Linked DNA regions of Anolis sagrei. The protein of the gene in region 1 purifies or fractionates together with the protein of each later gene. This does not show direct contact. Links are inferred from orthologs where the notes say so. Each region holds a gene or a part of one and is shown in the gene's direction. Other genes may lie near its edges.

What was found. The genes of interacting proteins can lie anywhere in the genome.
Region 2: the proteins of SF3B1 (region 1) and SRSF1 fractionate together in Homo sapiens (co-fractionation; 3 studies listed by BioGRID and IntAct, with this or other methods). This does not show direct contact. The link is inferred for Anolis sagrei from reciprocal best matches to the Homo sapiens genes SF3B1 and SRSF1.

What each region holds. Positions count from the first base shown.
Region 1 is NC_090021.1:178,747,717-178,754,783, forward strand, and holds the start of SF3B1 (splicing factor 3B subunit 1), read left to right. Parts: upstream 1-4,067; 5' UTR 4,068-4,152; coding exon 4,153-4,180; intron 4,181-7,067. UniProt on the Homo sapiens protein: Component of the 17S U2 SnRNP complex of the spliceosome, a large ribonucleoprotein complex that removes introns from transcribed pre-mRNAs.
Region 2 is NC_090031.1:19,484,920-19,492,649, forward strand, and holds the start of SRSF1 (serine/arginine-rich splicing factor 1), read left to right. Parts: upstream 1-4,729; 5' UTR 4,730-5,229; coding exon 5,230-5,423; intron 5,424-7,730. UniProt on the Homo sapiens protein: Plays a role in preventing exon skipping, ensuring the accuracy of splicing and regulating alternative splicing.

The sequences.
Region 1 (7,067 bases):
ATACTACGGTAAATATAAGAAAGTAAACTGTTTGACTCAAGCCGGAATGCTTCTCAGCCTCAGGCAAATAATCAGACCTCACAACCTCTGAGGATGCCTGCCATAGATGAAGATGAAACGTCAGGAGAGAAGGCTTCTAGAACATGGCCATGTTGTTGTTAGATGTTAGGTGATCCCTCGTTGGCCGAGTAGGATAGTCTTCCAGGATCAGTTTTCTGGTGGATCTGTAAGTGACTATGGAGCCGTACTCTTGATCTGCATCTTCTCCCGCAGAGAGGGCATTGGTTTCCAGGTGGAAGGCGGTGTCGGTCGGGGTTGGCTTGATGCGCCTTCCTCTTAGCATGTTTCTCTCTTTTGCCCTCCATTCGTGCCTCTTCAGATTCTACAGCACTGCTGATCACAGCTGACCTCGAGCTGGAGCACTCAAGGGCCAGGGTTTCCCAGTTCTCAGAGTCTATGCCAGAATTTTTAAGGTTGGCTTTGAGCCCATCTTTAAATCTCTTTTCCTGTCCTCCAACATTTCATTTGATATTCTTGAGTTTGGAGTAGAGCAACTGCTTTGAGAGACAATGGTCGGGCATCCAGACAACATGGCCGGTCCAGTGGAGCTGATGGCAGAGGACCATCACTTCAATGCTGGTGGTCTTTGCTTCTTCCAGCACGCTGACATTTGTCCGCCTGTCTTCCCAAGAAATTTGCAGGATTTTCTGGAGGCAGCGCTGAACATGGCCATACAGCCCGAAAAGCCTACAACAACCCAATATAACAAAAGATAACAATAGCTCTCAACTACCCAACTGCAGCCTCCCCAATAGGCATCTTTGCTAAATAGCCAAGACTACAGAGATCAGCTTCCATTGTTCTCACAATCCCATCATCCCCACCCTGGACCCCTGCTGGCATGGAATGCTAGCACTTCCTACAGACTCCTCTCTGTCCATACTACTTTCCCTATCTGGCTGGGAGGGGATTTCCAGCCACATCAACAGAGCTCGGCCAACCAGAAACAGAAGAGGGATGGTTCAAACTGGAATAATGAACATTGTGTATAAAAACTGTTGTGCAGAGCACATGCTCTCTTATGCTTGTAATTTTTTGGAGCAGGAGTTTACAAGCATCATCTTGGCCAAGATTAAATAAATGCCTCTGTCCTATGTCTTAGCTTCACTTTTGTTATTATGGTTGTCACAACTCACCAGGCCTTTCCCTCTCATTTTACTCCAGTCTAAATTCCATATCTGTCCATTCTCAACAAGTTGTGATAATTTCATTCAAATGCATTTTAAAAAAACCCAGAAACAAACTAGGTTTTTATTCGAAACTGGCTTCTTCATATTTCCATGAAGAAAATATTCCCTGGGTGGTAAGAAAAAAACACATACAAAAATATGACAGAATACTGAAGCACCCTTCAAACTGTAACAAAAAAAGGGGGTTAAGACTGCTGTCTTTGTGGCACTTTTCCATCTCAAAACTGTCCCAGGTTATGGCATGAGCCCTATTAGTCTGTGTATTTAACCAAATAAATTAACAAACTCCAATCCCCTGACAGTGGGTTAAACAGAGCCAGCATCACACTGCATCCCAGTAACTTCTTCCATCTTCCTAGGGTTATCCACTCATCTTGTATTTATGCAACACCTCTCTCCTATATCTGTCTCTCAATGACACGGACAAACTTCGTCCCTCCAGGTGTTTTGGACTTCAACTTCCACAACTCCTAACAGCTGGAGAGCTAAAGTTTGTCCATGCTTGCTCAATGACCATCTACTGCTAATACATAACTTGCCACTTATCATCACCATACCCACCACCTTTGCATTTCTATGGCAAGTCACATACACAGAGTCTGAGGAAGCAGATGGACTGTTTTCCCACTGCATAATTATAGTCGTCTGACAGCTAGGCCCAGTGCTTGGGATTTAGGAGTTTTAAGTTTGTTTCCCAGGGAGGCTAGAATGGAAGCAAGCTAAACACTTTATATTCAAGTAGGTATGAGCCGGGGGTGTTGTGTGGCGTTTAATAGGTATTTGATAGGTATTTTGAACAGTTTTTAATTTTTTTTAAAAAAAAATAGATTTAACCACAGTCAGTCCTCGAGCTGCAAACATGCAACTTACAAATGACTCCTAGTTAAGAACAGGGGTGAGCCAACAAGAAGTGAGAGAAATCTTTCCCTTGGAAGGGAAATTAACTTCTGAAAGAGTCATCATGTGAAAAAAGGTGTCTCCAGTGATGCTTTATCAGCAATCTTATTTCCAGAAGTCAATTTTTTTTCAAAATCCAATTATCATAGGGACAGAAAGTGAGGTGAAATCCTCTGAACGGGGCCACTGACAGCAAAACAAACACCATGGCGGTGTAAACCCTTTCCTATGCTATCCAAAGCTAAATAATTTATAGAGAGAGAGGGGAGGGGGGGGGGGAGAGAGCTGGAGTTACACTTTTAAAATGTACCTGTTCCAGCTAACAAACAAATTCAGCTTAAGAACAAACCTACAGAACCTATCTTGGTAACAACTTGGGGACTGCCTGTATATTTCTGTTCTAGTGTTTATATAGTTTAGGTTCTGATTTGTATATTGAATTTTTAGAATGGTTTGCTGCATTGAGTCTCTTTTTAAGAGTAAAGATGGGATCTACATATACTGATAATATAATTCTGCAGTGCAGCTGCTACCATTTTTCTCTCTTATTTAGCCCCAAATATGCCACAAGACCCCTTTTAATTCACATGTAACCAGAATATCAAGGGAGATAATCCACAATAGCCGTTTTGAACTGGGTTATCTGAATCCACACTGTCATATAATCCAGTTCAATGAGGAATTTATACACCTGTGTATTTATTTATCATGTCAGTAGCAACCAGACAATTGGATTACATTTTAAACAAATTTTTAACAAACAGACAAAACAGAGTTTGCAAGCTTGGTAGTTGATTAAATGTCCTTTGACCAGTATCTGGCCACTTGGGAGTGCCTCTGGTGTTGCTACAAGAAGGTCCTCCATTGTGCATGTGGCAGGGCTCAGGTTGCATTGCAGCAGGTGGTCAATGGTTTGCTCTTCTCCACACTCGCATGTTGTGGATTCCACTTTGTAGCCCCATTTCTTAAGGTTGGCTCTGCATCTCGTGGTGCCAGAGCGGTCTGTTCAGCGCCTTCCAAGTCGCCCAGTCTTCTGTGTGCCCAGAGGGGAGTCTCTCATTTGGTATCATTGAGGCTCTGGGTTTGAGCCTGCCAGTTTTGGACTCTCACTTGCTGAGGTGTTCCAGCGAGTGTCTCTGTAGATCTTAGAAAACTATTTCTTGATTTAAGTCGGGGTGATTTGAATGCAATATTCCTGCTTCTTGGCAGGGGATTGGACTGGATGGCCCATGAGGTCTCTTCCAACTCTTTGATTCTATGATTCTACGTGCTGGCTGATACCCAAACAAGGGATGAGCTGGAGATGTCTCTGCCTTGGTCCTTTCACTATTGGCTGCTACTTCCCACCTGCGTAGAAGGAGCCTGATACTCATCTAAAATGGCTACAATTAACTGTGGAGTATAAAATCCACATTAAACTGGGTTATGTGGCAGTGTGGACTCAGGGCCCTTCCACACAGCCTTATATCCCAGAATATCAAGGCAGAGAACCCCACATTGAGTGTGGAGTCTGATAACCCAGTTCAAAGCAGATATTGTGGGTTTTTCTGCCTTGGTATTCTGGGTTATATGGTTGTGTGGGAATACTATAAGAGCTGCAGTTTTACAAGGCCTTTAGCCTTCTCTGCCAAAGCAACCCTTTTAGAGTTACTTCATAGCAGTTGAAAGTAGTGTCAAACTGCATTAATTCTCCAGTATAAAGGCGCCTTATTTCTGTGAACGCGATCCCACAAAATAAGGGGTCTTATGATGGACTCGGAAGGGAAGCCCCGCTTACTCCTGCGCTGTATAAAAGCTGAAGCTGCGGCGTCCCTCTCGGTTTCCCCGCCTTCCCCTTGCCGTTCCAGTGCGCCTGCGCAAAGGGCTCTCGCGCGGCCACTCCTCCCATCTCCCCCTCCCAACTCCCTCCTTCCGCCCCCGAAAGCGGAAGTGGACGTCGAGAGAACAAGCGCGCGCCGCCCCCCCCCCTCCATCTCGCTGGCTGCGCTTCTTCGAGCTCCACAAAATGGCGAAGATCGCCAAGACGCACGAAGGTAAGAGAAAAAGAGGGTGGTTTCCGTTTGCGGCTTAAAACCCCGGCCGCTTAGGCCTCGAAGTCTGAAGGCGCTGTTTTTCCCTCTCGAAGGGCGGCGCTCCTTGGCTCCAGGAAGCTGAAGGGAAAGGGCGCCTGAGCGGGCCAGGCCTTCGCGTAATGGCGTCGTCGCTGAGGTGTCTCAAGGCCTCGCCGCTCCTTCCCCCTCCGCTCCAACTATTTCGCGTGAACCCGAGTGGCCGGGAGGGCAGCGCAGAGGAGCGGGGTTGAGGAAATCGAGGCCCGCGTGTTCTTCAAGCCAGGCCTCGAGGAAGCAGTCGTGGCCTCTTCCTCCCTTGCGCACGCAAAATTGTGAACATATGGGAAGGGGAACATCCTTTTCTACGTTTTCTTCCTGGGAGGCAGCCTTTGTGCCTCCTTGTGGGTCGTTCTTTAATTTAAAAATAGGCCTGTTAAAATGCAGGTTGGAGGAGGAAGGCTCATCGTAGAATTAACTCCGTTTGACTCCACTTTCAACAGGAGGCCCTTCCACACAGTGCTATATCCCAGAATATCTAGCAGAAAATCCCACATTATCAGAATGTGGACTCAAATAACCCTGATCAAAGTAGATATTGTGGGATTTTCTGCCTTGATATTCTGGGCCATATGGTTGTGTGGAAGGACACTGAGATATCTGGCCCCTTCCACACAGCTGCATAAAATCCACTTTGAACTGGATTATATGGCAATGTAGACTCAATTAACCCAGTTCAAAGCAAATATTGTGGGATTTTCTGCCTTGATATTCTGGGCCATATGGTTGTGTGGAAGGACCCTGAGATATCTGGCCCCTTCCACACAGCTGCATAAAATCCACTTTGAACTGGATTATATGGCAATGTAGACTCAAATAACCCAGTTCAAAGCAAATATTGTGGGATTTTCTGCCTTGATATTCTGGGCCATATGGTTGTTTGGAAGGACCCTAAAATGTCTGCCCCCTTCCACACAGCTGCATAAAATCCACATTGAACTGGATTATATGGCAGTGTAGACTCAATCCAGTTCAAAGCAGATATTGTGGGATTTTCTGCCTTCATATTCTGAGCTATATGGCAATGTGGAAGTGCCCTGAGTCCACACTGCCTCATATTCCAGTTCAAAGCAGATAATGTGGGGGTTTAGGCGTCTGTGTGGAAGAGACTTGCCATGTCTCAATGCACTGGGATCCCAGGAGTTGTAATGTTACAAATCCTCCTGGCAAAGAGTGCTCGTGCCTCGCCAAAACACAACCCCCAGAATTCCATAGCATTTAGCCGCAGCAGTTAAAGTCACGTCAAACAGCTTTCATTCTAGACTGTAGAAGGGCCCACAGTGTTCTGAGGCCCCTTCCACACATGTGCATAATATCCACATTGAATAATAATAATAATAATAATAATAATCTTTATTTATACCCCGCCACCATCTCCCCAAGGGAACTCAGGGTGGATAACATGAGGCCAAGCCCGACAATTATAATAAAGCAAAGAAAATACAAACAGCAAAACTAATAACATCAAATAAAATAAAATGCAAAATAAAATAATACAGTAGGGTAAACACAGGATATGAAATAAAATAAACACAATGGGCTGGGCCAGATGAAAGGGATAGAATTATAAAACCCTGGGTGAGATAGGTAAATAGAGTAGTGTATCTGGTCGGAGATTCAGATGGGACAACGATGGGGTTTAATTCTCACTAGGGGATGTGATAAAGCGCATCAAAAGGACAAATTTGTACTGGGACGGTCATGGTATGGGGATTTGTTATTCATTCTTCAAAATCACGTCGAACAGCCATGTTTTCACATTTAACTGGATTATATGGGAGTGTGGACTCAGATAACACAGTTCGAAGCAGATATTGGAGGTGATTTGTTGTAATGATTGTGTGGAAGGGTCCTGAGCTGTCTCTCTGCAAGCTTTAAGGAGGATTTGCTTGTGGAATCCATGACCTAAATTCAGTTATTAGTCCCAACTGGAAAGTGAGTCACTGCTCCCCAAGCGGCCATCTGTGTTAGGGCCCATCCACACAGCCATATAGCACAGAATATAAAGGCAGATAATCCAGAATGGATTATCTGAGTCCACACTGCCTTATAATCCATTTCAATGTGGATTTTATACAGTTGTTTGGAAGGGGCCATAGGATTATCTGCTTTGATATTCTGGATTATATGAGTCTATACTGCCACATAATTCAGTTCAAAGCAGATAATTTGGATTTTATATAGTAGTGTAGAAGGGGCCTTTATGTAAGCGCCACCAAATCATTGAGTCAATTCCGATTTTGGCCCATGATTTTTCCATTGATACAAATGAGGAAATGACTAATCCATTTATATAGATGGGGAAATAATTACTCCATTTAGGTTGCTGTGAGTTTTTCAGGCTGTATGGTCATGTTCCAGTACCATTCTCTCAATTTTTCCTGCTTCTATGGCAGAGATCCTCAGAGGTATTGATATAAATGGGGAAATAACTACTCCCATAAGGAACATGCTACCCCTCCAATTTCATGTAATTGTTTGCATTCATATTGTAATTATTGTCTGTCAAGAAGTGCCTATCCATTTCAATATCTATGTGTTCACAAAATATGAGTAAGTTTGGGTTTGTTTTTCAGTTTAGACACTGTGTTTTGAGCAGTATGTTTTGAACTCAGAACACATTGAGAATTCATCTGTTGATGAGCATTAAACAACAAATGTAATTCGAGAATTACAGTAAAAATTAGCAATTTTTTTCCTGTGGCTGACTGATTAGTATGAGTTTGAATGAGCAGTATAGTACACAAATATTCAAGATTGAATATTCTTGTTAAAATAAAGCATTGGATTCTACCTTTCATGCAGGAAGAAT
Region 2 (7,730 bases), on another chromosome or scaffold:
AAGGAAGCGCCACCGAGATTTTATTGCGATTCAGCTGAAAAGGATGCAAAGCAGCAAGATTTCGCCAAGCTAAGCATACATGAGTACAAATAAAAGCCATTTTTATAGCCATTTTTATAGAGACTTGTCCAGTTTGAATCTCCCGCTCCCCGCCCTCCGCCCGGCTTGAAGGTGATTGGCCAGCACTTCAACAGCTGGGAGGAGGCTCAGTCACCTCTCGAGCGCCTGGGCCAATCACAAGGTTTCTGCTGTGCACCTGGGCCAATCAGAGGGCTTCCGCCGCCTTGGCGCTTCAATGAATCAGGAGGGAGGGAGACAGGACAAGGGAATACAATGCATTTTTGAGTGGATTATGAAAATTCAGGAAATGTCCAAGGGGCTGGCGAGTCTTAAAGGCCTACAAGCTAGCCAGACTATTGTTCTGAATGGCTGCAATAAACATTGATATATGGCAATACCGCCATAATCCGGATTTTCTTCTATGTCAAGACAGAGGAACAATAGTGGAAACTTAGGTGGATGTTTTAGTGAGAGAGATTGAATAGGTGGCAGATCAGGAAGAGATGCAGCTTTCCGAAGGCTCCCCTCTGTCCCATTGTGATATAATCAATACTTGCCAAGTGGCCGTTTCCTCTGGTGGCCAAAACCTCCGAGGCCAGAGGTCACGAGCCTTTGTTATTGTCCATGCAAAGGGTTCTTTCAGCTGGTAATTCCTTTCCTTTCCAGGGGCAGAGCGGCTTCCCTACATTTTAATACATTTTTTTCCAAAAGGGGAATGGGGCAAAAGGGTCAGGAAAAGGTCAGACACACAGGGAGAAAATATGAAAATATAGAAATTATGTTATAGTAAATATACCCACTTAAAAGTTAAAGTTTGTATGCGGCGGAAGTGTGGCGGTGCGACAGGGTATGTGCCAGCGTTCTGATTGGCTGCCACTGTGGTGCTATTTGCATATGGTTTTTTGATTGGCCAGATTCAAGAGGAGCCCCTGGTGGAGAAAAGGGTTCATGACAGAAACGGAGACATGAGAGAAGGAAATTTGCATATTGTCTCTGATTGGCCAGCCTCAATTCCAAGATTCCGAGATGACAAAGAGAGGAAAGGAAAAGGCCAGGGGCTGGGTCAGAAAATTACCAATACAGACCAAACTTGGCACACAAAGCCCCCATGACCCACTCTACATCCTACTGCAGTTTGGAGGAGGATGAACCATGGATGATGGGACTTGCAGTACCATCACTCACATTCTGAGACCGCTGTTAACCTCATCCAATGACTGATCAGGACCAAACTTGGCACATAGACCTCTCATGACCCATTTTACGTCCTGGTGTGGTTTGGCCGGGGATAGACCATGGATTATTGGACTTGCAGTACCTTTGCTCAATTTTTGAGACCACTGCAACCCTCATCCAATTACCGATAAAGACCAGACTTGGCACACTGAGTCTCCATGATGCACTCTACGTCCTGGTGCAGTTTGGAGAAGAATGCACCATGGATGATGGGACTTGCAATACCTGCACTCCCTTCCTAAGACCATTACAACTGCCTACAATGATGGATCGGGACCACAATTCACACAGAGAGCCCGCATGACCCACTCTACATCCTGGTGTGGTTTGGAAGAATTTGGCAATGGATGATGGGACTTGCAGTCACTTCACTCACTTTCTGAGACCACTGAGACCCTCGCCAATGGCTGATCAAGACCAAACTTGGCACACAGAGTCCCCATGACCCACTCTACATACTGGTGCACTTTTGAGGAGGACAGACCATGGATGATGATGGGATTTCAAGTACCTCCACTCCCCAAGACTGCTGCAAAACTCATCTAATGACCAATCAAGACCAAACTTAGCACACAGAGCCCCCATGACCCACTCTACATCCTGCTGCAGTTTGAAGGAGGATGGTTTTTGGATGATGGGACTTGCAGTACCTTCACTCACTTACTGAAACCACAGCCACCCTCATCCAATGACTGATCAAGATCAAACTTGGCACACAGAGTCCCCATGACCCACTCTACATCCTGGTGCACTTTCGAGGACAGACCATGGATGATGGGACTTCAATTACCTCCACTCCCTTCCCAAGACTGCTGCAACCGTCATCTAATGTCTGATCAAGACCGAACTTGGCACACAGAGCTGCCATGACCCACTCCACTGTTTGGAGGAGGATGGACGATGGATGATGGGACTTCCAGTACCTTCACTCACTTCCTGAAACCACAGCAACACTTATCCAAATACCAAGAAAGAACTTGGCAAACTTTGGCCAACTGAACATTCTGATGAGGTTTGGGGGAGAACAGACTTTGGAGGAGGATGTGACTTGCAGTACCTAAACTCATTAACCATTTCTTAAGATTGGCTCTGCATCTCGTGGTGCCAGAGCGCAGTCTGTTCAGCGCCTTCCAAGTCGCCCAGTCTTCTGTGTGCCCAGGGGGGAGTCTCTCACCTGGTATCCCCCACAGAATGAGGTGCTGGGTTTGAGCCTGCCACTTTTGAACTCTTGCTTGCTGAGGTGTACCAGCGAGTATCTCTGTAGATCTAAGAAAACTATTTTTTGATTTGAGTCGTTGACGTGCTGGCTGATACCCAAACAAGGGATGAGCTGGAGATGTCTCTGCCTTGGTCCTTTCACAATCCAATGATTGATCAAGAACAAAACTTGGCACACAGAGCCCCCACGACCCACTCTCCATTCTGGTGCAATTTGGAGGAGGATGGACCACAGATGATGGGATTCGCAGTACCTTCACTAACTTCCTAAGATCACTGCGAGCCATATAAATAACTGATAAAGACCAACCTTGAGACACAATTCCTTTCTCAAATAACACCAAGCTAGTTTTTAATAAATCCGTGTTGACTATTAGCAATGACTGCATTTGTTTCTAAGTGTTTGCAGACCTATTCCTTAACATTTTTTTCCAGAATCTTGCCTGGTATCGACGTGATCTTCCTTTTCCCTCCTTCTTCCCTTTCTGTTTTCCCCTTTCCTCCATCCCCAAAGGGATCCAGGCAAAGAACGCCTTTGGGGGAAAAGAGAATAGAAAGCGGTGCAGTTTTCGGCCATGGCCACACGATGGCAGCAAAGGGCCGTGGCGGGTGAATGAAGAGGGGGCTGCACTTCCCGATGTGTCCACTGGGCGGCCAAGGCAAAGGGATCACCCTGGAGCCCCAAAGGAAACCCAGAGGCGCTCGCTCACAGGCCTGTAGCGAGGGGGGGGGGGGGGGTTGGGGGTTCAACCCCCCCCTGAAATGTTTCAGATTTTTTTTAAAAAAACCTGGTTTACTCATGAATTTTAACTGGTTAACCAAATCCCCCTGCTAAGTCTATGAGATGCAAAAAATTCAGAGTCCCTCCAGAACTGCAAGCACTATCTCAGGTAAATATTGACAATTTATTCACACTGTCATTACTTGCAGCAATAGCCGATGTAGCGAAGCATCCAAGTTGGGGGGGGGGGAGGTTGTTGAATGCTCTCATTAAGGAGGCCAGACTTGGTGGAGGTGGTTGACAGGGGCGGAGCTGCAGGCTATGGAAGACTGCTCTGCCCCCTGCTGTGCTCTTTGCGGGGATTGTGGCGCAGCTGGCTGAGTGTCAGCTGCATTAAGATCACTCTGACCAAAAGGTCATGAGTTCGAAGCCAGCCCGGGTTGGAGTGGGTTTCCAACCAATTGTGTGTAGCCTGTTGTCGACCTTTGCAACCCGAAAGACAGTTGCATCTGTCAAGTAGGAAAATTAGGTACCACCTTAAAGTGTGGGGAGGCTAAATAAAGAAGACTCTGGCAAAGCATTCCAGCGGGGAAGATAAAGGTAAAGGTAGTCCCCTGACATTAAGCCCAGTCATGTCTGACTCTGGAGTGTGGTGCTCATCTCCATTTCTAAGCCGAAGAGCCAGCGTTGTCCGTAGACACTCCAAGGTCATGTGGCCAGCATGACCGCCGTTACCTTCCCGCCGGAGCGGTACCTATTGATCTACTCACATTTCCATGTTTTCGAACTGCTAGGTTGGCAGAAGCTAGGGCTGACAGCGGAAGCTCACGCCGCTCCCCGGAATTGAACCTGCGACCTTTCGATCAACAAGCTCAGCAGCTCAGTGCTTTAACCGACTGAGCCACCGGGGGCTCCTCCAGCGGGGAAGTGTGCGGGGAATGTGGAAGTGCTTCCTCAGCGTCGCAGATGGACGATGAAAGCGACATCTCCCCTGGCGGCCAGAAAAAGTTAAATAGCCTCTGTGTATGTCTGTATATGTTTGTATGTCAAAATTGACATTGAATGTTTGCCATATATGTGTACACTGTAATCCGCCCTGAGTCCCCTGCGGGGTGAGAAAGGCGGAATATAAAAGCTGTAAATGAATAAATAACATAAATAGAAGGCAGGTTTCAACCCCTCCCCCCCCCCCCCAAATTTCAACCCCTCCCGAAAAATTTTTCTGGCTACGGCCCTGCTCGCTCGTCTTTCTCTTTTTAAACTACATTTAAATCTCCTTGTCTGCTCTCTCTTTCAAAAAATACGGGGCCATGTTTGAATTTTCCTTTCAGGGAGTCTCTCTGGTAGGATTTTTCCGTCAGGCACCACAATAGCCGACTAAGCGTGCTTCGCTGTGCATTGTGGGCCTCGTGCTTGGCTTTGGCGCGAAGGCGCTCTGGCGCGCGTTGCATGGTGGGAAGGCGGCGCTTCTCCCCTTGAGCCGGATCTTCTTCCAAGCCGAACAAGGGGGAAAATAGAGGAGAATCGCTGCGCGCGTCTTTCCTAGGCCTCGGCCTCGAGTGGCGAGTAATCGAAAGGGGAGCGTAAGGAAAACGTTTGCAAGCGGAGGGACTTCTTTTTTCTCTTGCGCATGCGCAATTGGAAAGGCGGAGGCATCTGAGGAGAAAGCGTGAGAGAGTGACGTCACGGCGCGCGCGCGCGAGACTGAGAGGATCCTTGCGCGAGGCAGGTAGAGCCGCCATTTTGTGTCGCTCTGAGGGAAGGCGCGTCCGAGGCGGATCCCTCCCAGTCGACTGGGCCCGGCGCCTGCCTGCATCCCTCCTTCGCTTTCTCAGGCCCCGTTCTTGCTTCCCCTCTCTCCCTCTTTCTTTCCTTTCTTTCTTTCCCTCGCTCGCTCCCTCCCTTCCTCTCCCCGCTGCGGGGCCCTTCTCGCCGGCCTTCCCTTTCTCCACGAGCCTCGGCCCCCGCCAACCGCAGCCATTGCCGACCTCGCCATGTCAGGCGGCGGCGTGATCCGCGGCCCGGCCGGGAACAACGACTGCCGCATCTACGTGGGCAACCTGCCGCCGGACATCCGCACCAAGGACATCGAGGACGTCTTCTACAAGTACGGCGCCATCCGGGACATCGACCTCAAGAACCGCCGCGGGGGGCCGCCCTTCGCCTTCGTCGAGTTCGAGGACCCCAGGTGAGGAGCCCCCGCCCCCCCCCCCATTATGTCAAGTCTGGACTGCACAATTCAACCCCTACCAACAGATGGCCACCCAACTTCAGAATCAGAGTTGGAAGAGGCCCTCAAAGGCCATCCTGCCCAGCCCTTCATGGCAAAGGATAGTATAATTCAAGCCCTATCAGCAGATGGCTGTCCATTCTTCGATTCAGAGACTCCCACAGTGGAAAGGGGCCCCCAAAGGCCATCCAGTCCAGCCCTTTATGTCAAGGGACAGTGCAATCCAAGTCCTGCCAACAGAGGGATATCCAGCCTCTAGCTAGATCATATACTCCTAGAGCTGGAAGGGACCCTCAAAGGCCATCCTGCCCAGCCCTTCATGGCAAAGGATAGTATAATTCAAGCCCTATCAACAGATGGCTGTCCATTCTTCGATTCAGAGACTCCCACAGTTGAAAGGGGTCCCCAAAGACTATCCAGTCCAGCCCTTATGTCAAGGGACAGTGCAATCCAAGTCCTGCCAACAGAAGGACATTCAGCCTCTAGCTCAGTGGTTCTTGTCATGCGTTAGCATGAATCATAGAATCAAAGAGTTGGAAGAGACCTCATGGGCCATCCAGTCCAACCCCATTCTGCCAACCCCACTCTGCCAAGAAGCAGGAATATTGCATTCAAAGCACCCCTGGCAGATGCCCACCAGCCTCTGTTTTAAAGCCTCCAAAGAAGGAGCCTCCACAACACCAGGGCAGAGAGTTCCACTGCTGAACAGCTCTCACAGTCAGGAAGTTCTTCCTCGTGTTCAGGCGGAATCTCCTTTATTGTACATTGTATTGTTTGAAGCCATTGCTCCATTGCAGCCTAGTCTCCAGGACATCAGAAAACAAGCTCCCTCCCTCCTCTCTGTGACTTCCTCTCACGCATTTATACATGGCTATCATGTCTCCTCTCAGCCTTCTCTTCTTCAGGCTAAACATGCCCAGCTCTTTAAGCCGCTCCTCATAGGGTTTGTTCTCCTGAGTAGCATGCAGACTGACTCTAGCCCAGTTAACTGTGTGTGTGATGAAATTACTCATAAAAGAAAAACACACGAGACTTCGGCTTAAAGTAGAAAAGAAAAATATTGTAGTATTGGCAGCATACAAAAACAAAATAGCAGGATTACTGTTTCCACAAAAGTAACATGAAACAATATCTTCTGAGAGATATCATTACTCAGCTGAGATAAACAGGAATCCTTGTCCTCTTCTCATGGCTGTGTCTTCGCAGGACATCTGCAGCATAGTCCCCGGCTTACACAAAGCAGAACGGCACAGAGGCATAGATGCACAATAGCATAAACGCACAATGGCAAAGAACTAAACACACAGTAGCTATCTTTATACACATGAAAATAACACTCAATTAACTCTTCAATTAACTGAAACAGCTGTAGCACAAACAGCCTTGAACCTTACAGCAACTTAAAGTTATAGCACAAACAACACTGATCCTTACAACAACTTAGATAAAGTACGTTGCAATCTCTTAGTAGCAACAGTTCTCAACCTGGGGGTCAGGACCCCTGGAGGGGTCACAAGGGAGTGTCAGAGGGGTCACGAAGATCACCGGAAAACACAGTATTTTCTGTTGGTCATGGGGGTTTATGTGGGAAGTTTGGCCCAATTCTGTCGTTGGTGGGGTTCAGAATGCTCTTTGATTGTAGGTGAACTACAAATCCCAGCAACTACAACTCCCAAAATGTCAAGGACTATTTTCCCCAAACTCCACCAGTGTTCACATTTGGGCATATGGAGTATTCGTGCCAAGTTTGGTCCAGATCCATCATTGTTTGAGTGCACAGTGCTTTCTAAATGAAGGTGAACTACAACTCCAAAACTCAAAGTCAATGCCCACCAAACCCTTCCAGTATTTTCTGTTGCCCATGGGAGTTCTGTGTGCCAAGTGTGGTTCAATTCCATCATTGGTAGAGTTCAGAATACTCTTTGATTCCAGGTGAACTACAAATCCCAGCAACTACAACTCCCAAATGAGAGAATCAAGTCACCCCTCCCCCAACTCGTATTCAAATTTGGGCGTATTGGGTATTTGTGCCAAATTTGGTCCAGTGAATGAAAAACACATCCTGCATATCAGATATATACATTACGATTGATAACAGTAGCAAAATGACAGTTATGAAGTAGGAAGGAAAATAATTTTACGGTTGGAGGTCACCACAACATGCAGAATTGTATTAAGGGGTCACAGCATGAGAAAGGTCGAGAAGCTAGATCATATACTCCTAGGGTTGGAAGGGACCCTCAAATGCCATTTGGTCCAGCCCTT